Linked DNA regions of Arabidopsis thaliana. The protein of the gene in region 1 interacts with the protein of each later gene in a biochemical or structural test. Each region holds a gene or a part of one and is shown on either strand. Other genes may lie near its edges. The genes, in order: GAMMA-TIP and TSPO.

The links.
Region 2: the proteins of GAMMA-TIP (region 1) and TSPO form a complex in vitro, tested with the Arabidopsis thaliana proteins (one study listed by BioGRID).

Annotation. Positions count from the first base shown.
Region 1 is NC_003071.7:15,439,416-15,451,950, forward strand, and holds GAMMA-TIP (gamma tonoplast intrinsic protein), read left to right. Parts: upstream 1-5,878; 5' UTR 5,879-6,074; coding exon 6,075-6,458; intron 6,459-6,549; coding exon 6,550-6,921; 3' UTR 6,922-7,206; downstream 7,207-12,535. Other genes in the region: AT2G36810 (ARM repeat superfamily protein), read right to left, coding at 8-47; AT2G36815 (mid region of cactin), read left to right, coding at 1,354-1,421, 1,606-1,861; AT2G36835 (uncharacterized protein), read right to left, coding at 10,424-10,474, 11,103-11,171, 11,556-11,666, 11,749-11,892; ACR10 (ACT-like superfamily protein), read right to left, coding at 12,419-12,535. UniProt on the Arabidopsis thaliana protein: Water channel required to facilitate the transport of water, diffusion of amino acids and/or peptides from the vacuolar compartment to the cytoplasm. Does not promote glycerol permeability. May play a role in the control of cell turgor and cell expansion.
Region 2 is NC_003071.7:19,562,592-19,574,655, forward strand, and holds TSPO (TSPO(outer membrane tryptophan-rich sensory protein)-like protein), read left to right. Parts: upstream 1-5,872; 5' UTR 5,873-6,109; coding exon 6,110-6,700; 3' UTR 6,701-6,916; downstream 6,917-12,064. Other genes in the region: putative indole-3-acetic acid-amido synthetase GH3.9, read right to left, coding at 100-383; ALG3 (asparagine-linked glycosylation 3), read right to left, coding at 3,081-3,258, 3,346-3,402, 3,482-3,560, 3,633-3,742, 3,832-3,948, 4,044-4,132, 4,322-4,375, 4,471-4,537 and 5 more; AT2G47780 (Rubber elongation factor protein (REF)), read left to right, coding at 7,485-7,808, 7,890-8,273; AT2G47790 (Transducin/WD40 repeat-like superfamily protein), read right to left, coding at 8,511-8,867, 8,966-9,050, 9,125-9,216, 9,307-9,417, 9,507-9,581, 9,726-9,821, 9,912-10,125, 10,207-10,355. UniProt on the Arabidopsis thaliana protein: Stress-induced membrane protein that can bind heme and may play a role in the transport of tetrapyrrole intermediates during salt stress and contribute to the detoxification of highly reactive porphyrins in the cytoplasm.

The DNA.
Region 1 (12,535 bases):
TTTATACCTGGTGCAGGGATTGAGCTCCCTAAACTTGAAGAAGCCATTTCAAAAACCGATCAACTATTTCAAAAACCCAGAATTTCGAAGACCAAAAATTCGACTGTTTTGATCGATCAAGATTTTTTTCAGACGGAGAAGAATCCGACCGAGAGAGGTGAGAAGAAAGAGAGAGCCAGCTCTCGGAGCTCGGTAGTTAGTTATGAAATTTGCGTCGCCTCTTGTCGGAGGGACTTGAATGTTAAAAAGAAAAAGTTTGGGGGAAGAAAACAAATATATGAAACCAATTGTAACCGATGGACCCATACCCGACAAGACGGGTCCGGGTATAATAGCGGTTTTTTTAAGCCCGTTGCTTTTGGATCATTCTTTTGTTTCTATAGATTGATAAGAATGCTCAAATTATTGGCCCAATAATTTGAGCGGTGTTCTCTGAATCACTTTGTTCCTTTTTTCTTTCAACACTAACTAGAGTGTAAATTATGGCTTTGAATGGAGGAATGCAAGTGTTGGATGCAGCAAAATTGGAGTAGTAACACTAATAAGTGACAATTAGGATGATGATCATCTATAAGAGTAATTATTATAAACTTTGGCTTCATTTTTCTATTTCCATTTGTTTGTGTACTACCAAAAAATTTACACAAGTGGGTAAAAAATTCGTTTTGCAAAACACTGCTTTCAAGAGACAAGTATTTACCATGACTCTTGTAGATAGAGATCGAGTTCCAATTCCTCTAACCGATAATTTATAAATCTATTATCTTCACGTAGGTAGGATAATGGCGGAAGAGTGAAGATTCCATGAGCAATTTTTGTACTTCACACACCGACTTGAATCTAATGATACATGTTAGCAATATTTTCCCCGGAAACATTTCTCTAGTCAATTGGCTTTGCTTCTTCTTAGCTGTTTTCTTATGTTTGCTTCTTCTCGCCTTCTTTCTCCTATATTTTTTTTTTCCATAGTGTGATAATTAAGGGCTTGAACCTACAAGAGTTTTCTTTATTTAATTATTTTATTAATGCTTTCAATTTTTTCCTAATTATTATATTTGTAATAGTTAAATTTAATATATTATTTTTTTCTTTTAAAGAGGTAGAATGTGGTGTGCAATTACCAATTAGGAGAGGTTGGTTTAAAAAAATGGAGAAAATTAAATACCCTTTTTCAGTTTTTGCTTTGGACTAAGTTTAGCCTTTTAGCTAAATATACGTAAAGGCTCGAGCATAACACAATCCGATATTCTGAAAATCTGTTTCAATCACAAGATCCATTATCGTCGGATCGGAGAGGAGAAGTTTTCACCACCGTCCCACTGATCTCAGATTGTCGTCTCCAACTAGACAAATATGAATTTTCATGGTAAGAGTAAGAGAGATAGGCATGGAAGGCGGAAGAAGCAGAGAGACGAAATCGAGTATATGGCCAAAAGGGCACTAAGTGCTTCAAAGAAACTGAAGAGACAGTCAGTTATTGGGTACTCCAATGATTCAAACCCTTTTGGGATTCCAACATAGCCGAGACATTCGTGTGGCGGAAGAAGATTGAAAAAGATGTTCATCATGGAGCATCTCTAGATGAATTCTCTGTTAAACTAAGAGGATCAGAGAATGGGAGTTAACTAAAGCTCGTAGAAGAGATGAGGAATTGCTTGCTTCTCAAGAAAGAGCACTACACGCTGGTGTTGAAGCTGGTGTGAGAGAACTTCTTGATGGGAAGACTCACGCGGAGCTTGTACAACTGCAGTTTGACATCGAATCGCAGCTGCGCTCTGGAGCAGCCAAAGTGGTAGAGTATAGGGAAGCGGTTCTTAAACGCCTCAATAGATATAAAGCAAAGGCTTGCTTGAAGAAATAAACGCTGAGATACTTCAACTTTAAACGACTTCGGTACAGGCGATAAGGTGATTGGAGTTTTGGCTGGAGAAAACAAAAGTGGGGCAGTTATATATAAGACTTTGGCTGGTGTACTATTAAGGGTTGATTTCAAATAAATGAAATGCCTTTTGTGTCCAGAAAATACATCTACATGGTGGTAGTTTCTATCTTACAAAAGTGGCAAGTTATAAGACGTTGGCTGGCTAGTATCTTGTTTGGTTTGTTTCTATATACTTACTTTCCCTTTGTTAATTTTGTGAAACGTTGCTTGTTTATTGATAATCTCTATTTCGCATGCGTTCATTTCTGGATGATGTTCCCTATCTTCTGATTTTGATTTTTGTATTGTTAAACCGTACTTCCCATATAACACATTTTTCATTTTGTAGCAATGACCAATGAGCTTTACTTACAACATCTTGAGATGATAGCACGAAGTCGAACTTTCAAGTTAGCAGAATTGTAAAGGGCACAAAATAAAAGCAGTATATGGGTAAATGTCACCAATAAAATGCACCATGGAGAGCCGGAGAGAAGGTATGTTATTTGAGTCGGTATCAAAAACGAAAACAGTCACTGGTCAGGAAAAGTTACTTCTCCCATATGATATATCGGCAGATTTGGTATGATGTGTGCGAGTTAAGCATCTCATTCGTTAATAAAAGCATTAGCTATAAACAAGGAATTATCCATCTTTATATAACCTTATTGCAGAAATTTCTCTACCATAGCAATATAAATACGGTCCTTCTAATTTTGATTTTGCCGCTTGATTACTTTTGAAAATAACTAAATCTGGTTACTATAATTAAGTTTTTTAAGTGAAATGAATAAATTTGTGGTTAGATGATTCATGATTGTATTCATTAGGGGTCCCATAATCTAATATATTTATACTATCTTAATTTGTCAACGTGATGATATTATTTTCTGCATTGAGAAGCCATTTAAATTTGCATACACTCTTTATCACGTTAAGAAAAATCATTAAAAGTATTATTTAAGTCAACAATAATAATGTGATGTGAATTCTTTCTTGGTTCAAAAAGAAAACAAATTCTTTTTTTTCTTATTGGTCGGCCGGGTTAATAGATTGGGCGGTGTGGATTGTAGTTCGCTCGGATCATACTTAGAAATATTGTTGGTTTCTTCCCTCATTTTTGTCGACTTAACTATTTTGGGTTGTTTTGACCCCAAAAAAAAAAACCCACTATTTTGGTTTAATAGACAAAATTTAGTCTCTGTTGTTTAATTTTGTTTGATGGAAGTTTATATTGGTCCAAAATGAGATTCAGTTCAAATTAAATAAATAAATTATCTATTTAACCAAACTTATTTAAAAGAATTTATATGCTCTCAATCTTTTTGTTTGTAAAGATTTAAAAGTTAAAATTTTAAACAAATAACAAAATGGAGCAACGACGAATCTATCAACGTACGTACGTTCTCAGACATTACATTGTACAATTATTTCGACAAAAAAAAAAGCCTCATTGATTATCATTTATATATTATATCATAGAGATTCGTGCCCCTTATCTCGTTTTTTTTGCAAGACTAAACAAGTAACAAATTGCCTAGCTGCCTAAAGAAGTGAAGATAATACTCTTTCTAAAATCACAATATTCTCATAGTAAAAAAAAACATATTTATCATCATATCGTCCAAATATTTCAGTTTTGTTGTTTGTTTAACAATACAAATTAACAATGATTTAATTTGGAGCACTTGAATATAATAGTACACCGACCACAACCCCACACAATTCACAAACTTGAGAAAGAGAGAGAATATGCCCAAACTCACCAAACCTAATCATTTTCATAATTAACGAAAAAAATAGTTTCGGTAAGATGATGATGTCTTAGTTAACTTTTGCTTACTACTTTTTTAATCATTAAACAAAAAAAAATATTAAAAATCGTTTTCACTTGTTCAATACATATTTTTAAGTTTTATTTATAAGGAAAAAAACTTAATAGCTTATTGCACCAAAACTAATATGGTCCTTATGGATCAGTTTCATGTTTTTAGTTTTTTATGTAATGAAAATTTGAATTATTTTCTAAAAATATGTGTACGATATGGTTCGATTTAAATAGAAACCATGGTTCAAAACGTCAGATTAGTAACGTTCATAAAACTGAACGACTTAATTATGTCCACGTATACGGTTGGTTTCTTTCAACGTTTTTAGATAGTTAATGCTTTGAAATCTTAGTTAGTTATACAAAGGTAAGGTAAACGGTCCAAAAATGATTGTTCTCAATCAAGTTTTAAATAAGAAGGAGAAAAAGTCAACAAGGAAATGCACCAATCAATAAAGTGTCACCAAATATATGAGGAATTCCGATGATTAGCTAGCGTTTTGAAAATACTTCGGCTACTAGCTATGTTTTTGAGAAGTACGTACATGTGGTTGGTAAAAGAATACTGGAACATTGTCACTAGAACGTTCGTGATTGTACGCAGTATTCATGCCAGTTGATGTTGTGCACCATCAATGTTCATTATGTGAACCACCCAAAAAGGCAAAAACAATGGATCATCCACCTAACAATCCACCCCAATCTAGGTAGTTCTAAAATCACACGACTTACATCAAAGGAAAAGTTTCACATGTTTATCAATCACAGGTCACAGTATGTTTGAAAGAGATGATAGAAAAAAGATATCAAATTTGTCCCGTGTTGATAGGAAAGTTGGTTTGGTATCGTATTATAATTTTCTCTACACACACACGACTCATGTTTCATGTGTTAAAAAAAAAAAGCAATCGTTTTAATCCCTTCCAATTTATATAAATCTGCGGGCTCTGTTTTTATATAAAGAAAATTGGATCAGTTGTATGAACTTCGAACTGTGCAAAAAACTTCAAAATGGTTCAACTATTTTGTCAAGGCTTGTAAAATAAATAAAAATTAGCACACTGTTAAAATTTGTAGTATTATATTTAAAAAAAAAAAAGATCAAATTAAACAAAAGAAAAACGAAATTATCACGTCTTTTATTTATTATTATTTTAAATAAATAATATGACATTTTAAATTTTGTTTGGAAATTAATCACTTTCTGGCAGTACCTCTCAGCCGAATTGTAAACCTAAACCGCCCAAAAGGGACAGATTGCATCGTGGTGGTAGGACATTCATAAATTATTATTTTTCCTTAAGTGGAGGGCCGTCACACAATACTTTTTGCCCAATAGATAATTGGCCCACAAAATAAAATGCTAAAATAAATATATAATCTTTCTGTATGATTGTGAAAAAATGTGAGATTGTCTCGAATGTTAAAATTTGGTGCCACAAACAATATAAATATATAATCACAGAAAAATTGGTGCCACAAACAAGATAACATCTTATAATTTTCTCGTATACTTGGAGAGCGAGTTGAAAGAATTGCGATTAGAATAAAGCGTAGTGATTTGGCATTGAATATCATTTATGCTACATAATTCTACTTAGCGATAATATAAAAAAATATCATAACTTATGGTTAGCATGTAATGTCACTATACGAATATCAAATTCATAAAACTAGCCGTGACTTATCTACACAGAATTATTTATGTTTCGAGAATAAAGACCCAAGAGAAAACAACGACATTATAACAAAAAAACAACGACAGATTATAAGTAAGGAAGAAACAAATGACTATAGATTAGATATGAAATATTTTTAGTAACCATCTTTAGTTATAATTTTTGTTTTGGAGCTTGCTCCGTATACTCAGTTGAGTATTTTTACCACACATATATCAAGACTAAATTCTACCACTAATCAAGTAAAAACCTCTTAGCAAAATAGTTGGAGAAAAACAAGAATAAAATCGTATTATTTTCCTCTAGAACTATCGATCATTCGAGAGAGAGAATATGAAAAAGGGACAAAAGCTCTATACATGTACAAACATGACAAGTCATTATCCGCCACGTAGATTGGTCGGTTCCGCTTCGCTGGAATTATAGCGATGTACTTGTTTAGCCTGTTTTCAAAATTATTTAAATCTCTAACCGCTCCAATCAAATAATTTCTCCACCAAATATTAATAATATATCATCCGGTAACCGGTCACCAAAATGGCGCCACCTCAGATATAAGTAAGAGCACATAGTAGACCAGAAAAAATCATCAAATCCATCTCCCACTCTTCTAGCATCTTGAAGCTTAAATCTCAGCCGTCCGATCATGCCGATCAGAAACATCGCCATTGGCCGTCCAGATGAAGCCACCCGTCCCGATGCCTTAAAGGCGGCGTTGGCTGAGTTCATTTCAACTTTGATCTTTGTCGTCGCCGGTTCAGGCTCTGGCATGGCTTTCAACAAGCTCACTGAAAACGGAGCCACCACTCCTTCTGGTCTCGTAGCTGCTGCAGTGGCTCATGCCTTTGGACTCTTCGTCGCTGTCTCAGTTGGTGCCAACATCTCTGGTGGACACGTTAACCCTGCCGTCACTTTCGGTGCTTTCATTGGTGGTAACATCACTCTCCTCCGTGGTATCCTCTACTGGATTGCTCAGCTTCTCGGCTCCGTCGTCGCTTGCCTCATCCTTAAATTCGCCACCGGTGGCTTGGTATGTCAAACTACCCTTTAGCCCTTTATTAGATCTCTTTTTGGACCTAACTTCTTTGTCAAGTAACTAATTAACCTTTTGAAAATTTTAGGCTGTGCCGGCTTTTGGTCTCTCTGCTGGAGTAGGAGTGTTGAACGCTTTCGTTTTCGAGATCGTGATGACATTCGGGCTTGTTTACACCGTCTACGCTACAGCCATTGACCCCAAAAACGGGAGTCTTGGAACAATTGCTCCCATCGCAATCGGTTTCATTGTTGGAGCCAACATCTTAGCTGGAGGAGCTTTCTCTGGAGCCTCCATGAATCCCGCCGTGGCTTTCGGACCAGCGGTGGTGAGCTGGACATGGACCAACCACTGGGTCTACTGGGCCGGACCTCTCGTCGGCGGTGGAATCGCTGGACTCATCTACGAAGTTTTCTTCATCAACACCACACACGAGCAGCTCCCAACCACAGACTACTGAATTAATCTCTCTTTTTCTCTCTTGTGTAATTTTATTCGACTTTGAATTTGAATTTTAATGTCTTTTTAATTTCCGTTTGTGTAATTTCGAATCATCAAGGGGTTTATGATCGTTCGATCTTTTAGATGAATCCTTGTCCGTTGGTTTCAAGAGTGGCCATTGCAATTTCGACTATATAATGTGAATTATGTATCAATCTCATCTTAAGTTTTCAAGTGTTGCAATATCTCTTTTTGCCATTTTGTCAAACTTTTAAATTCCACATCAGTCTTATTACACATTAACTTTATTTATGACCGAATTTATAAGAAATGAGTAAACAAATTATGAGTAATAAAAAAATATGATATATAATTATATATATTTTTTAAAAAAACTAGAATTTGATACAAGTTTCGATCTATTTACGTCTAACAAAATTCACCATATCTTTAACAAAAAAAAAAAAAAAAAAAAAAAAGAAGAAGACAAATTAAATTCACCATATGTATATGTAAAAATTTGAAAGTTGGAATGGTTGGCGTTTTGCAATAAGGGAATAAAATGATATTGTAGGGGTCAGTCAGTGAGGGTTACTAGTCAATCAATACTCAATAGTGAATACGGCTTTTCTTTTTTTTATGTTGCTTTGTATTTGCATTTTGCAAAGGGTGTGAATTTAGAAAAATAAGATCCAATGAGAAAGATTAATCTGTTTTCCTTTTACTTATTTTAAGCAGTAAGATTGTTTTGCAATAGAGATCTCAAGTCTCAACCATACTTGTCAAACAGGTCCGACCAAAATCAAGACATGATTCGATGAGGTGCTAAGTTTGACGTTGCCTAATGTCTTCGTTTGTCCGATACCATTTTCGGGTTTTATAACAAAAATTAGAATTCCTGTTTGGTTTTGGCATTTTAGAGATATTTCAAAATCTTTGGCCAAATGGATACGGATTGGCAGAAGCACGTGAAAACGTCTGTACCAATTCCTTACAATTTCATTGTCTTTTCTTCTACTGATCAAGGAGAGTTTGAAACTTCGGTCGACGCCACTAGCAGAATCGTACACTGGTGCAATTGCCGACATATTATCTTCCGAATAAGTTATGTTTTCTATACAAGAACATTGTAACTTTGAAGGTAAATATGCTTCGTTACATTAGAGTAACTATCTTTCAAATGTGATCACCATTTTCTATAATTAGATTTTGAGATAATCTGAAGATTTATTTACGCCATTTTAGACTCATTATAATATATGTATATTGTTGTATAATTTGGCAAAATTATATATTATATGATATTATCTAGAATGTTCGATATAATATTCAATACCCATGTGCCATTTTGGAAACTTATACCTAATGTTTTTGTAGGTTTCTCTTTCCCTTTTCCCTATAAATGTGTAATTTCTCATCAACCTTTTTGTGAGTGAATAGTATAATAAGAGTACACTCATAACTCGTACCAAACCATTATGGTCCTTATCAATCATATGGCTCTCTCACAAGCCACAAATCTAGTTCTTCCTTTATTAATTAGACTAGGTCGGTCACATGAACTAAACATAAACTTTTCATACATACACCGTAACACGCAGAATATTTAGAATTCAATCTCAAGTGAAAGTTGAACCGCATCAAACTGTAACAATTTTTATCTAGCACTCTAGCAGTTATATTGATGTTTAAATAAAGAGAAACGACCTAGCTGCAATAATATCAAAAGCAATTAGATCAAACTTGTTGGCGTTTCCTTTTATCTTTCTGCTATTGTGAAGATTGAAAATATATACAAACTAAGCATCTTATTGGCACTAATTAACCACGTTAGGGCAAAAGTGATTTCACAAATTCATTATCGTTAAATATGTCAAAACAAAACAATATGGGATACAGATTCGCAGGAGGGACAAAGCCAAAAAACTATCAAAAGTGATTGAAAAATGGACCGTAAAAGAGGACAGCTGGTTGGTCACTATCTGCTAAAGAGTAAATAGCTGAGTGACTGACCAATGCATAAATTATTAATGTTTGGGTCCCAAAATTTTCACAGATCTTCATCATTTTTAGGTTTTCTTCTCTAAATTATTTTCATTATTAGTATTCCAGTCTTCTAGGAAATGATAAATAGATTTATTATCCTTATGAATTTTGTTGAACTATGATTCATTATATGAGAGTATTTTGTAGAAACTAAGTTGTAGTAAAGAATACACATGATTAACATTTTAAGATACTAACCATTCTCACTCATAGAGTAACGTTTTTGTCTGCATACATCACCTTTCTTTTAATACAAGAAGAAGATTAACAAGTATCAATGTATCATCAAGGTACATTATTAGGGTTCTCTTTTCTCAAAGATATTGTTTATACTTTTAGGGGGTGTTATTCGTTAATGGATTTTAATAGAATTGAAATCCAACACTAATCCACTGTTATTCAACTAATGATTCTAAATCCAGCTTTAAAATCTAGTGTTATTGGAACTCATATTTGTAAATCATGCTTAATAGATTTTAAAGTTTGGTGTTATTCAATTAAGATTTTAAATATTTCATTAAAACCCAATGTTATTCAAAACTAAAAGACTTGTAAAATCTTTGTATATTAATTGATTTGAAACGAAACCTTTTTGGAGTTTCATGAGTAAATCATTAGAATCAAAATCCAAGACATATTGCAGAGATTTTGAAATTCATACAAACATATTCTTAAAAGCAATATCAGAAAACAAATCTAAAGCTTAAAGAATTGACTTTAACTCCATAATTGAATAACACCATCTTAGAGTTTACTTTTTGTTTTTCTAAAGTAAAACTGGTACACACGTTGTTGGGTTTGTGGAGAGATTATGTTCACTTTTTATGAATTCAAATGGGCCGGGCGGTGCCTAACATTCTCTCCGTGATTATTTAAAGTTTTCGCTTCTTTCTGTTACTCCAACGACAACGTCACTTATCAATGATCTTGTTTATTAAATCATATTTCTTACGTGAGACAACACACTACTTGGACAATTTTATTCCGTGAGTTTTACCTTAATCGGTTTAGAACTTCATTTTGGTTAACCATACGTCTATGGTTAGTTATTTTTAGGTCGAATTCTATTTTCAGCGAGTGTTTTAACATGTGTAGTTCGTGAAATCGGTAAAAGCTTTGTATCGTTTACGATCCATCGACGAAAGATGGTTTATTCTTGACTCCTGAGATCCCATTTTGGAACTCAAAAGAGAACTTCATTCATTTCGACAAGGAATGAGTGGAAAACTTGAAGAACGATGGAGATAATAAGCCTTTAAAGACATTTTTAAAACTGTCATTAAAACCAATTATTTGATAGTATATAGATTCTGTCTGTAAAAATCCTCTATACAAACACACGCACACCGTATTCAACTTTGCTCATATCAGATCTCTCTGCCACTAACAAGTTCTGGCGACTAGACAGATATCCCGCAATCCCAAAACTCCAGGTGTAGAACCTTGACAAGTATATGACCGGTTATCCACTGTGCTTAGCGGTCAATGAAGGACTTATTCATCAGCTCGACAGCGTTGTCCATGAACTGCATTCTCAGGAACAACAGATAGATCATTGTTAACTTACAAGTTACAACCATCGATAATAGAAAACATCAATTATGATCATGCTAACAAAACAGAAAATAGGTTCTAATGCGTTCATACTACGTGCTGAACACATTTCATTTCTAATTATGATAATGATTGACCCGATGCTCAATCAAAATTCCGGTCTAACCGATATTTTCTGCCATTAGCTGTTTGTGTGCAGATGATTAATCTATGCATACCAATTAGAGTTCAGGTTTCTCGGTTAGAACCAAGTGGCTTGACTAGTAATGCTACCAGGATCCAACTCCCACTAAGTCTCCCTTGTTGAGCCACATAATTACTTTAGGATTTTTCCTAACTAACGAGCTTACCCACACACAAAAAAATGACCATCTATGATCTTGATATGCGAGGAGTTATAGGATACAATAACCTAACCCTCTCTTATAATAACTTCACATAACACACTAGCCTTAGGCAAACAAGAGCTTTAAGAGTTCAAATTAAACAAATACAGAGAATGAAACAAGATTATCCAAGGTATTGGCTCATATTGACAAGGTCATATACAAGTGGATAAATTTGATTAAGACACATAGCAATAAAAGTGTTGGTCTTTACCTTCCCAAGCATTTTCAGCTCCTTTCCCACTGGTTCCAAGAATTTAAGATCAACTTCAACAGGCCACACCTATTCAAATACACCCAAAAATGAAACTATTAACAAATGAAACCTCATACTCCATGAATGATTAAAAACCTATGGAATAAAAGAAACTAATATTTCCCTTATGTTCAGACCTAGGCAGCTCTACGGTTTAAGAAACTAATCTCAAGAGTGAGCCAAAAATCAAAACTTACACAAAACTACCAAATCAACTCGAACATTCTACAAGGAAGACAACAGAAGATGACACTTTTCCTGTATGAATTCTAAGCCAATTTGAATACTAAAAACTTCTACTACACACATGCAAGCACAACAAATAACTATCCTCATTCTTTCCAATTCCAACACTCAAACATCATCAAGAGAACTCAAACTAAAGTAGTAATTTCTCAATAAGTAACAAACCTTAACACCAAGTAACCGAAGAGGTGTTACTTGGCCAGGAACAACGCATTCAGGTCCTGCGGATTCAAGTACAGCTTCCATCGCAAACCCACCTCCCACAGGATTCGGATGCTGCAGAGATTACACGCAACCCCATAATTAAAAAAAACTGTGAAAATTCCCAAATTTGATTGCAATCCGCAAAACAAACAACCTTCATGACGGAAATGGCGTAATCGGTTTCTGGGTTTTGAGAGATAGATAAAACCGGAGAGCGACTGATCTTAGGCACTGGTCTTCCTGACGAAACTCGCCATGGTGCATCCTCAGCTAGCGTCGCTCCTCCTTTCTTCGCCATTAAAGATTTCGTTTTTTTCGTTGGAGAAGCAGAATTCGAAATTGAGAGCCCTTAATTTATTCTCAAAGTGGATAGAAAGATTTATCTAAATTGCAAAGTAGAAAACTTTGTGGTCAGCTTTCGGATTGTCTTCGTGTGCTTCTTAAAGAGTCGCCATTTTTCTTAGGTTTCTCCTTCACTTTTTGCCCCTCATTAAGTGTTTAATTACGATATAGCCACTCACTTCATATAATATGAGAAAAATCTCAGCTCAATACAACAAAGAGAAAAACTTTAGCTTCTTACTATGAAACCCACACAGTACTCATTTACAACATTCCAACGTTCTGCTTTTCTCTACTTACAATTTCTCATCAACACAAAAAGAAAGACTCAAACCATATATACACACTGTGGCTTATCAGATATATCTCCTCGTATCATATTAATCTACATACACTCATTGCATCATAAAGTGACAAATCTTATAGCCATACTCTTTCGATGAGTCTGAGGTTAGCTAATGGTCCTATACTCTGAAAGATTTTCATTCCCAGCCCATCAAAGTTTTCCATACTTCTTCCTCTATCTTGCTTCTCGGGATTGGTAAGCTGTCTTCTTCGTTGATCAACACTTTGTACACCTCCCATTCTCTGTCTCCAGT
Region 2 (12,064 bases), 4.1 Mb from region 1:
TGCAAGAAAGCGATTACATTTTCATCAGCTAAAGAAAGACATGCACAGAGACAGAGAAGGCAGCGACTAACAAAGATTCAGACTGAAACAGATACAGACCTGCATAATATTTCAGTAATAGAATGGCCAGTAATAAGAGATGAGTCTTCTCCATTAGCAATTCTCTGAATGTACGGATAGATATCTTTGTATATGATGATTGGCACAGCGCGTTTAAACTCCAGAACATCCTTAGAGCCATTCATGTACTTACTCAAGTACTCTGTGTCCTTGTTTCTTTCCAAGATCCCACGTAAAATGTTATCTTGAACTTCAGCAGCTTTCGAGGTGATCCTCTCAAGCTCTTTTAATACACTGTCGTGATCAAGCTTCATTACATCCATTTCTCAGCTAACCCAAAGAAAGAAGAAGAAGAAGAAGAAGAAGAAGAGAGGTAATGACTGCCTCAGGACTCAAAGTAAGGGGGTATATTTATAGTGGGTTTAGCCATATTTACATACCCAGAAATGGAGATTAACTTTGTCCTTGCAATATATCAGTTAAAGGGAAAAAAAATCAGTGCTGATATCATCAATTATGCAAGCTCAGTTTCAAGGAAGGACAATACGTATAAGAAAAAGATGTACTTAAAGACACTAACACAACAATATTGTGTAAAGACATAGCAGCTTCTCTCTACTTTTTTACTTTAAACCAAAACCAGCATATATATCAGAGTTAAGTTGACTTTCTGCCACATAGCAAAACCTTATATAATGGCTACGAATAAGATAAGTCTACAACAGCCTGAGTTTACAGCTACCAAAAGGGTCATTAACAAGTTCTCAGTAAATGAAGAGACTTTGTTCAGCATGAGAATCAGGGAAGCAATCACAACCATCCATATTTTATCAAAAAATCTCAACAAGGGGGCCACATCTTTTGATGATCAACCACAGTCATGATCATCAAGCTTTAAAGCATGATGCGTTTGGTGCTCGCCGCATCTGATTATTGGCGAAAGTCCACCACTAGCTAAACAACTGCTGACGCTACTCTGTCCCTCAAGAGGAACAACTCTAACCAGACATTGTGGACGCTGTTGGGTGTGGATTCTTTTTCCATATGCAGAAAGGGTTTAGTGACAAACAAAAAGCTAAACTTGCTTCTCTCTGTTATTTTGGTGACTCAGTTTAGCATATAATGTATCGCACTATTGACCCTTTTCCATGCATGGTGATTCACTTCTCACCATTCCCATAAAAAACAAAAGAGATCTAACAGTTTTTAAACTCAGATTCTATTGGTTCATAGTCTTATCCACAAGCTAGATCTTGTTCCCTCTCCAGATTTCCCTGTTTAAAGCTGAGTTTCAACAGCACAGCATCAATGAAACCTATGTGGGTTTTTAAATGTGAACCAATGTTTTAATTAGGGTGAAAATGAGAAGTTGTTACACGAAACTACATGGCTGTTCTAGTGTCACAATCAAACTTTTGACTATATCAGTGACATGTTTATTATTCCTCTGCAAGTTGTAGAAAGGTTAAAAACTTCACTTTTCTTGGCATTTCCGTGTTAATGGAATTCACACTCAACAAAAAAGCAACAGACAAGCTGATATCAGCTGTAAGAAGAAGTTTTTCTATGTAAGGTAAGTCTGAAAGATGACTATCAACATTTTCAAGAGTAAACATTAAAAACTTTAGATTCAATGGATGCAGAACACTGTATGCCATATGTATCAAGACTATGTAACCACCGAGTCTTATCTTATTTATTAAGAGAAAGAAAAGGAAATGAAGATGACTCTCATGGTAAGGAGCAAAAATAAGTAAAAGAAATCAAAATAGATAGACAAGGTGAAGCAAAAGCCTAAGAAAATAAGCTCATGTCTTCCTATTTTGGGCGTCAAGCTTTCATTTGCCAGCACCAGCCAATGTTTTAACAGAGACACTTCTCGACCAGTACTTAATAGAAGTATCACGAGACCATAAATGTAACTACAACTGAAAAACTCTTTGTTTACCTTCTTTAGGCAATTATCAACAGAACACAAGGACAGACAGTGACTAATAAACCAAGAACTATATAGAAAACCACAAGTCTCTTTTCCTAGTCACTGTGGAGGTTAAGGAAACAGTTCTTGTATCAAAAAAGTTGTGTTTTTTTCTTTCTAATCACAGATGATCATTCCAATATGATAACAGTTTGACAACAAAAGGTACTATTTTCAACAAACAAACAACTGAAACAAGTGTTGATGCTAAAGTTAACATGGACAATAGTAATCATTCTTCGTCATCAGTGAATGTATAACAAGAATCATGAAGGGGGCAATAGAAATTTCTTGATAAAAATGTCTTAAAGCCTCGTGGTTTTATGAGACAACACGAATCATGAAGGGGGTAATAGAATGACCTCAAGTCCTTAGTGAGCTTTGGAGATCTTTCTATGGTCTGTTTTAATTCGCTTCATCTAGATTCAGCTTGATCCAATCCACGCCCATATCGGTTATGACTTGCCTTGATCAATGATCATAGAGTAGCTATGTTCTATGCTACATGATCAAGTTCAATGCCAAAGAAGTTACTAAAAGAATAAAAACAAAAAGAAAGAAATTACCATGGATTCAACACAATAAGACAACAACAGTGAAAAGTCTAATACACAAGTTAGCATATTTGCTGAGGAAGATTTTGCACTTGCAAGGACAGATTATTACGCAAGAGGCACATATTCTACACCAAGTCAAATCAAGGAAAAGCTAAGAACCCAGTTTAATAGCATTACGACTATAAACTACGAAATTTAAAATTCTCATTTTTTAGTTTCTTCTCTTTCTTTTAGTACAGGAAGATTCCCAATGCCGTTGAAAAACAAATACCTTGTGTCTAATTCTAAAGCATTTCGTACTAAAATAATTGTTAGAATTTAATGACCAAAATCATTAACACATGTAATTGCCGCCAAATTACAAATTTTTTTATTATAAATCACCATGTTTACAAAACACATATAGTTAAGTTAACCGTTACTTTCTTTAGCTTATCTCTAAGTCTTGGAAACAAGAAGAAAAAAAAGAGCATCAAAAGGTTCAGTTATGCTTTTTTGTGTATTTGGGATTTAGGGTGTTCTTTGAGCTGATAAGGATCGACTGAAGGAGCTAACCAGAGACCCACCAGAATGATCAAGTGTAGACACAATAGCAAACCCGAGGAGGACGGTGTTGATGGATAAACATTCCAACAGAGCTCAATGCCGAGGAACATGATCAAGCTTTTACAGCCAAAAGAAAAACAAGAAGACGAGTTAGGTTTTGATATTTTAACTGTTGTTACAGTAAGAAATGCAGAAATAACTTACCGCAGCCAAGTGGGAAACGGTGTTCTCCATAGTAGATAAGGTAGCGAATAGAAGTACCTGTTATGATCATATGAGTATTGGGGTTGAGGCTAAGAATGTTCGAGAAACGTAAGATTTAGCCAGGTTATTTGGTTACCATGAGTAGAACTGGTAGTGCAGAGAGCGAGCAAATACAATGCCGATGAAATTCCCAACAAACATGGCCGTGACGACATCTGCGAATCAAGTGGAATGCCTGTAAGTATGGACATAGGGAAACATAAGCTAAAATAACAGTAAGAGCTTACGTTCTTTCGTAATAATCCGTGAGGCTGATACATCACTGAACGAGAGTGAAGACGGAAGTGTCAAGAAGAAATGCCTAGAACGCATGAAGCCTATAATCCCGCCTTCATGCCTATAAAATCAACATATTAATTACAACTAATGCTAAACACACAAACTGCAACTGCTTTCAAATTGCAGCTGCCTTATGATTGTACGTACTTGCACCACTTATAATTTGCGAACGCCACAAGGAGAAAAAGGTGAGCAATGAGCAAGCATACTGCAAATTCTTTGGACACAAAAACTCGTTCTGGAACAAATTTGAAGTTAACAGACCTGTTGAGAGCTCAAACTAGAGTTAGAGGTCAAAAGACATTTTTAGATCCCATCAACATGTTTTTTAGATTTGGCGGGAGAGAAGCGAACAATACCAGAAATGAATGAAAACACGTCCAAGATCAAAGGCGTTTGCTATGTATGAAACCGGATATGTTATCAGAAACGGCAGTCCCACGAGTATCTGTATAACCATTCATTGACCAGCTGAATGGTACTTCTTGCATAATCAAAACTATAATTCGCTGGATAATGCAACTCACCTATTTACATTGAAGAAACTACAGTTAACAAGTTTCCAAATTGTCTTGGAGAAACAATGCTACGCATACAAATTGGTGAATAAGAAGGCTTATAAGAGATATAGTGAAACCTGAACAAGAGCTGCACCAGCCAAAGCAGACACCACTCCAATGATATTCATGGCCTGTGAATAGTAAAACTTCACATATGAAGAAAAACAATGCTAGAAGAATAATAAAGCAAATCCATAAACTAATTCTCTTCCACGAACATATATACCTTAAGTAGCAGAAGTAACAAAGTTGGAGCATACAAAAGTACATTCATCTTTACAGAAACAGCTCCACTGTATAAAAAGAAGGGTAAGCAGACTAGTCAATCTAAAGAATCGAGAAGCAAAAGCAGCAATCTAACCTGAAAACAAGCATCCCTAGATGCCATTTACGATAGAGAAAGAGAGCCATTGATGCATGTAGGAGAGTCATGGCAAAACAATCATTAAAGAGACGGAGAACAAAGATTGAATGTATCCTCTTGGATAAACATAGTAGACTTAATGCCCACCATGGCACCTGAAATACGTAAGGATACAAGAAGAGATATCATCACTGAATTCACTAAAATCACTCCCATCATAAACAGACAAATCAAAACCAAAATATTGTTCATTAACATCGTAAATGGACAACGCTTGACAACGTCTACAAATACTTGATGAAAAGAGATAAGAAATAAGTCTTCATTTATACCACATCAGTCTTCACGTAGATGATCAAGACGATCCCCAGATTGACAATGTAGAGAACACCAAAAAGAATCTGCAAAATGTAAGAGAGTAGAATTGAGACAAATGAAGCGATGGATGGATCAAATTCCGCAGCTAATCCAAAGATAGGAGATTCAAAGAGAGGGAATTGCAAGCACCTGAGCAGGGTAGACTTCCCCTCCAGTTAAGTTCTGCACTGCAGAGTAAACATAGAGGAAACCTGCTGGATAAACCAATGGCCCTGTATCGCCTTTCAAGTTCCCATAGTCTCTCTCTCCCCCGAGAAACCCACTAACCTGCCCCAATTAGATAAATTTCACTTAAAGACTACTAGTTTACTTTGAAGAAACCACAGTTGACCATTGACACTTACCTGTGACATGTAAGCATCCCAATCGATCTTCGTGTCTGTTAAAGGCAAATGACGAAATTTGGTTTAAAACCTATGCAAATGCACATTTCGAGGGATACGCAAGCAAAAAAAAAAAGGAGGTAAATAGCTCTCACATGGAACATAGGCGATAATAAGTGCGACTAGGATTGCATCAGCAAGAATTAGCGCGAATGCGAATGGAACTGCAGGTTTTTTGAATAGATCGGATCGATTCGTCTCCTTCCCCAGCCGACGGCTACGAGAAGCTCTCAAACTCGCCGGTGATGAGGCGCCCGCCATGAAAACAGAGCAAATCGCATCAGCGTCTAGCCAACGCCGCGTAACAGACAACTACTTCCATATTACTACTCTTCTAATTAGCCCAAATTAAATGAGCCTATTGGGCTTCTTGTCTTAGTCGGTGTAGAGCCCAATTGTTGTTTTATTTTTTAATAATGCAAAAGTATTAAGCGATAAATAAATAAGCATCGCAATCGTCCCAAAACTGTGTGTATGCATCAGACATGAGCATATAGAGTAAGCACGTGTCCACACTTTTTCACAAAGTTATCTAAAAACAAAAAACAATTAATTAGCATTCGACGTGTACATATCACTCGCCACGTGTACAAGAGCCTTGGCCTTTTTGCTTCTTCTTCTTGTCTATTAATATCATCTCCTGATTATACTCTCTTTTGACCAAGCTGCTTCTTCTCCATCTATCCAACATCTCAAATCTCAGTAATCTTGTTCCTTCGATTCTGTTTTGGACGTTTGTAATGGATTCTCAGGACATCAGATACCGCGGCGGAGACGACAGAGACGCTGCAACGACGGCTATGGCCGAGACAGAGAGGAAAAGCGCTGACGACAACAAAGGAAAACGCGATCAAAAGAGGGCGATGGCGAAACGTGGTCTCAAGTCTCTGACGGTAGCGGTTGCGGCTCCTGTGCTCGTGACGCTCTTCGCTACGTATTTCCTCGGCACAAGCGACGGATACGGGAATCGAGCTAAGTCCTCGTCGTGGATCCCACCTCTGTGGCTCCTACACACAACGTGTCTCGCTTCTAGTGGTCTGATGGGTTTGGCTGCGTGGCTTGTATGGGTTGACGGTGGCTTCCACAAGAAGCCCAATGCTCTGTATCTTTACTTAGCTCAGTTTTTGCTCTGTTTGGTTTGGGATCCGGTTACGTTCCGCGTCGGGTCGGGAGTAGCGGGGCTTGCGGTGTGGTTGGGTCAATCGGCTGCGTTATTCGGATGCTACAAGGCCTTTAATGAGATAAGTCCGGTCGCTGGTAATCTGGTAAAGCCGTGTTTGGCTTGGGCTGCCTTTGTAGCCGCTGTTAATGTAAAGCTTGCAGTCGCGTGAGATCTGTAAACGCTATACGATGATGTTTGTAGAGTCTGAGTCATATGAGTGTTTCTTGTTGTTTTTGTTTTTTGTGATATATACCATAAAAGATGTCTTTGCGATCCAATGGTCTGGTCATTGTGGAGTAATAGACATGAACATGATATACTTGAGAAATAATGTGATATTGTAGAAGTTTTAAGCGTTGGTCTGAAATCAAACTGTGAGATTCTTAAAAGGCGATCGTTTTACTTTTATGTCGCCGAAACGGAACAAATTCAAACGGTAAAGCCAACTATACTTTGATCAGTTTTGGGTTGGGCCGTTGACACTGTTTTGTGGGCTTCTCAGTCAGTGGTAAACCTAAAATTAATATAGGAACTCGAGGATTAGGGCCCAATCCATTTTAACACGTGATGATATCATGTAAGGTTTGGAGGGAATATACAAAAAGTGGATGAATGATAGCGAACGAGAGGTCCTTGTGCTTTTTTGATTTACCCTCGAGACTCGTGCCGACGGAGTGGCCGTGGCTTTCGTGCAACAGTCTCGACCCATACCTCGACACGTGTTGAAAACGGTCCATTAAGAGTAAGACATCTGTCAATAGGACAGCTGTCCTAGAGGTCACTCGTCTCTCACAATCCAATCCCTTTCGCTTAAATTAAAACTAAAATGGAGCATGGCAGCAACATGCCACGTGGCTCACCAGTTTCAAATCTGAGCCGTCCGGTGTGATATAAGTCTTTTTAAAGAGAGAGAGAGCGGTTCGTTTGTCTGCAACGGCACCAAGTCTTTGACAATGGCTGAAGATGAAATAGTAGTCGAAGAAGAGCAATCACAGCCACAGGAGATTACTCCAGTTCCACCATCTTCTTCGTCTTCGCCTTCGTTAGTGGTGGAAGACGACGATGAGATGAAGCTCAAGCACTTGGAATTCATTCAAGTCGCGGCGGTTTACTTCGCCGCCTGTTTCTCGACCCTCTACGAGTTGGCTAAAGACAACGCTGGTCCACTCAAACTCGGCGTCGAGAACATTGAAGATTGCGTTCGAACCGTGCTTGCTCCATTATACGAAAAATTCCACGACGTTCCTTTCAAGCTTCTCCTTTTCGTCGATCGTAAGGTAACAATCAGAATGTAATTCTTAACTTGAATATCGCTTCGGTTTCATGAGTGAGAGGCAAATGATTTGCTTGGTTTTCAGGTGGACGATGTGTTCTTCGATGTTGAGACATATGTTCCGTCATTGGTGAAGCAAGCTTCTAGCCAAGCGCTCACGGTGGCCACGGAGGTGCAGCGCACCGGCGTTGTGGACACTACCAAGAGCATTGCAAGAAGCGTCCGGGACAAGTACGAGCCAGCGGCAGAGTATTACGCAGCGACGCTGTGGCGTTTACTGAATCAACTGCCGTTGTTCCCTGAAGTTGCGCATTTAGTGATCCCCACGGCGTTTTACTGGTCAGAGAAGTACAACGATGCGGTTCGTTACGTTGGCGACAGAGACTACTTTGGGGCAGAGTATCTACCCATGATTCCTATTGAGAAGATCTCTGATATTTTGGAACAAGATCAGTGTCGAGCTGATTGACTATTTACTCTTCTGAAGCCAAAGATTCCTTCTTCTATAGAGTATATATACTGTATGTACTCTGTTTTTCTTTCCTTTCTGCAATTTGCTATCCCAAGAGATGTAATCTTTCTTCAATATTTCATTTAAACAACTTTGCCTTTTAATAATAACAAGAACAAGAGACATAAAGGAAACTGTCCTCTTCAGTCTCAACTTTTATAAAAGACACAAGACCCAAAAAGTAGTATCTGTTTACTAGTAAGGAGAGTGTCTGTTTTTCTTGCGGTTCCTTGGCGGCTTAACAACCAACTCACTTGAAGTCCAAGACCGGTTAATCTCGGTAGCATCCTCATCCGACTTCCAGCAACATAGTCGCCCATCTTCACCCCCAGTCCATCCAAATAACCCTGCAGCTCCTCCATACTCGCCTGGCATCTGCAGAACGCTCCTTACTACATCTATGTGACCTCCACCAAGAATAGCTTCAGCGGTACCGATTGATCCAGGCTGTTTGTAGTTCACCGGAAAATAACCAACGGTTCCTGCGCACGTTCCACCGATCACCCATAAATCTTCACCTCCTGGACAATGACAATCAACAAAATAATCAACCTGCAAAAGAGTAATGGGAAAGTTCAACTCTGTAAGTAACCATTAGGTTTCTGGTTAGTGTTAATGTTTTACTAGAAGGGAAAGAATGAGATTGTTACATTATCTTGAGTCCAACTATCTGATGCGAGTTCCCGAGCTTTCTCTAGGTTGACTTCACAGCTTCCGTCTTCCCAATTCCAAATACTAGAAAGGAGTAAAGAAATTAAAAACAGCACAAGTAACAGACTACAGTTGGAGAGGAGGGCGTGAAAGAGTACCTTAGAGTTTCTATATGAGTGAGACACCAGAGCTTTTTATAGCCATCTCCGAGGAAACCTATTTTGCCAATTGAAGTTCCCACGTTGATGACCTAAAGAGCGACCAAGGCAGAAATGGTTCAGAACTCTCATCTACTATCTTGATGCAGCAAGAAGGCTGATACCTTAAATCTAAAACTTACAGATTCCAGATGATCATCGTCATTGATATCACCTTCAGTGTTAAAAAGACATATCAATCCATCCACGGAAGCGGAAAGAAGCTTGTTGGGCTTGTTAGGAACAAAGTGTACCTATAATTAAGAACAGAGTTGACATCTATAAACTAACAACAAACTAGTTCCTTTCCCGCTTGAGCAGAAAGAATGAGAGAGCAACAAACCTGAGTGACGTCGTCCATGTGGGATTCCTCTAAACAAGCAACTTGCTTTGAGTTTCTCCAGTCCCACAAAAGAACCTGCACCATCGCTTCAGATTGTAACAAGCTGAAACATAGAAAATGCTCAAAACTAGCCTTTTTTCTTTCTCAAAGTGTACTCCTTTTTAAACATTTAGAGAAACAAAAAAAAAAACACGATTCCACAGGATTGAGATGCCTAACCTGCTCTTTGCATCCACCAGCCAGAAGATTATCTGCAGCACCTCCATAGGAGAAGCTGAAAATCTCCTGATCATTCCCAGTATCAATACGCGAAACCTGAAACACCCATGATCAACTTAAATTCAATGAGTTCCGAAAATGGAATCACATTTACGACAGAATTTATATAAAAAAAAAAAAACTCACCTGTTGGAAACTTCGAGTGTCCCAAGATCTAATGGTACCATCGGAGGAACAAGAGTGCAAAACGTGAGGAGACGCCGCCGAGTCGGAGGAAAACGCAATCTGATTGACGGTATCGGAGTGGCCTTTACATTCGCCGTAGTACTGACCAGTCACCGGCGAGTAAAGCTTGACGGTGTTGGTTGATAAGGAAACCGCGATTGCTGTCCAATCGATTCTGTCACAAAACCAGAGTTGGGTTCACTTTCAGTAAACTAATTAGTATGGTTATCGAAAAGAGAGAACAGAAAGCTTTTACTTTGGGACAATCTGGAAGACGTAGTCAGAGCCGAAGTTGGTCTGAATAGAGTTCTTGAGCCCAAATTTCTTCACGTTTTGAGCCGGAGAAGAATCCGAAAGCTGACGATTTTGAACCTCCACTTCCATCTCCGACGACACTTCTTCCATTTGCCGTTTCAGCGAAATTGATAAGGGTTTTAACGGTCTAGGGTTTGTTCGTTGATCAAAACGAAACGAGGATTAGCACTTACCTCTCTAAGTCATAGAGAAGGTTATAACTCTATAGGTCAAAATTTAGGCCTGTTTTAACCTTTTCGGCCCATTTAACGCACGGTCCAATACGATTATTAGCCCAAGGAAACAACAACCAACTCGCTCGCTCACCGTGCGCTTCTTCTAAACATGTCCATAGAAACATAAACATACTAAAATGTGAAAAGATTAAATTAAAAAACGGATAGAAACATATAGAAAGCCACGTGATGGTAGCAAACAGATTTAGTGGTTACAACCAGATATCATTTGATATTGAGATTTATGAAAATGTCCTTTTTCAATGGCTCCGATCGGTCAGTGATCGGATCTAATATTATAAAGGTGTGTTGACCCATAACATAATATTATTACTAATACAAGTAACATGCGGTAATTAACTCTATGTCGATCTTTTTTCTCTGCATATATATCTTTTAGTCGGTTTTTTCGTTCTTGCTAATCGTTATATTCCTCTACACATGGCAATGGAAAAGAAACGAGTAACAACAACAAGTAGCCTGCAAATAATTAAGTGCGATAAGACAACTCTGCTCTGATTGGAAACTGATATTCCGGCCCGTCCCCCTTTTATTACGTAGGAGTAATAAAATTGGGAACGTCAACTTATATTAATCATGACGACGTTTTCTCAAGGGAGCAAATTGTACGTTACGTCTCATATTATCACCACTTTTTTGCAGCAACACAGTTTTATTTCACACAATACAACAACACTTTATATTATATATGAGAGTGATAGAATTTTATCATTCCATATTTCCATGATATAAAGGGTTCCAATAATTGGTCCAATTTTTCTAATAAGACTTTTCTTATTCTCATAGACTCTTCTTATTCATCTTTCTTAATCAATTCGACCAACTCAGTGGAAGACAAATCTCACACGACCCTTTCCACTTTTTGGTAACTTTATTATTAATTTATTAGTATGGTGTAGTTCCTTTCTTTCTTCTGCTGATCTTGTCAACAAAATACTAAATTTTTCCTAAGCGGCTGTTTATATATTATTAACAAAGGTTTCCGCGTGTCTCTTGTTTAACTAGTAGACTAAAAACAAATCGTAAACTCGATTTTCTCAACCAAATTTAGAAGATACTACGGCATGTAATTAGCTAATGATAAAAGATTCGAATTTTCGTTCCAATGGATTTGTCTTTTCTTTTGCCCAAAACCAAGAATTTGTCTTCTCTTGGCAGTATTTAGCTAGACAACGCATATAGCTATATATTTTGTGTACACTGGTCAAGGTCGTGGATACGTCATTAATAATATTATTTCCAATAAGTCCTATTAAAACATTAAACAACTTTGAGTTTTAAAACAAACTTAGTGTAAAGAAAATAAAAATAGCAGACAGTTTACGGGTAAGACTAGATGACCATATATGATTGAGTGCATAAAACATCTTTTTTCTTTCTTTTTTTGAAAAAGCGAAACTAAAAGATTATTAGTTGTTGGAAATCAGCTTAGCGTAATCTTCGAGAAAATGACTCTAATGCTAAAATACTGATTTAATCAATTTTCTAATGGTTTGACCCAACAGACTTTTTTTTTTTTCTATCCTCTAATAATATATAATCATATAGTAGTAATTATTTAGT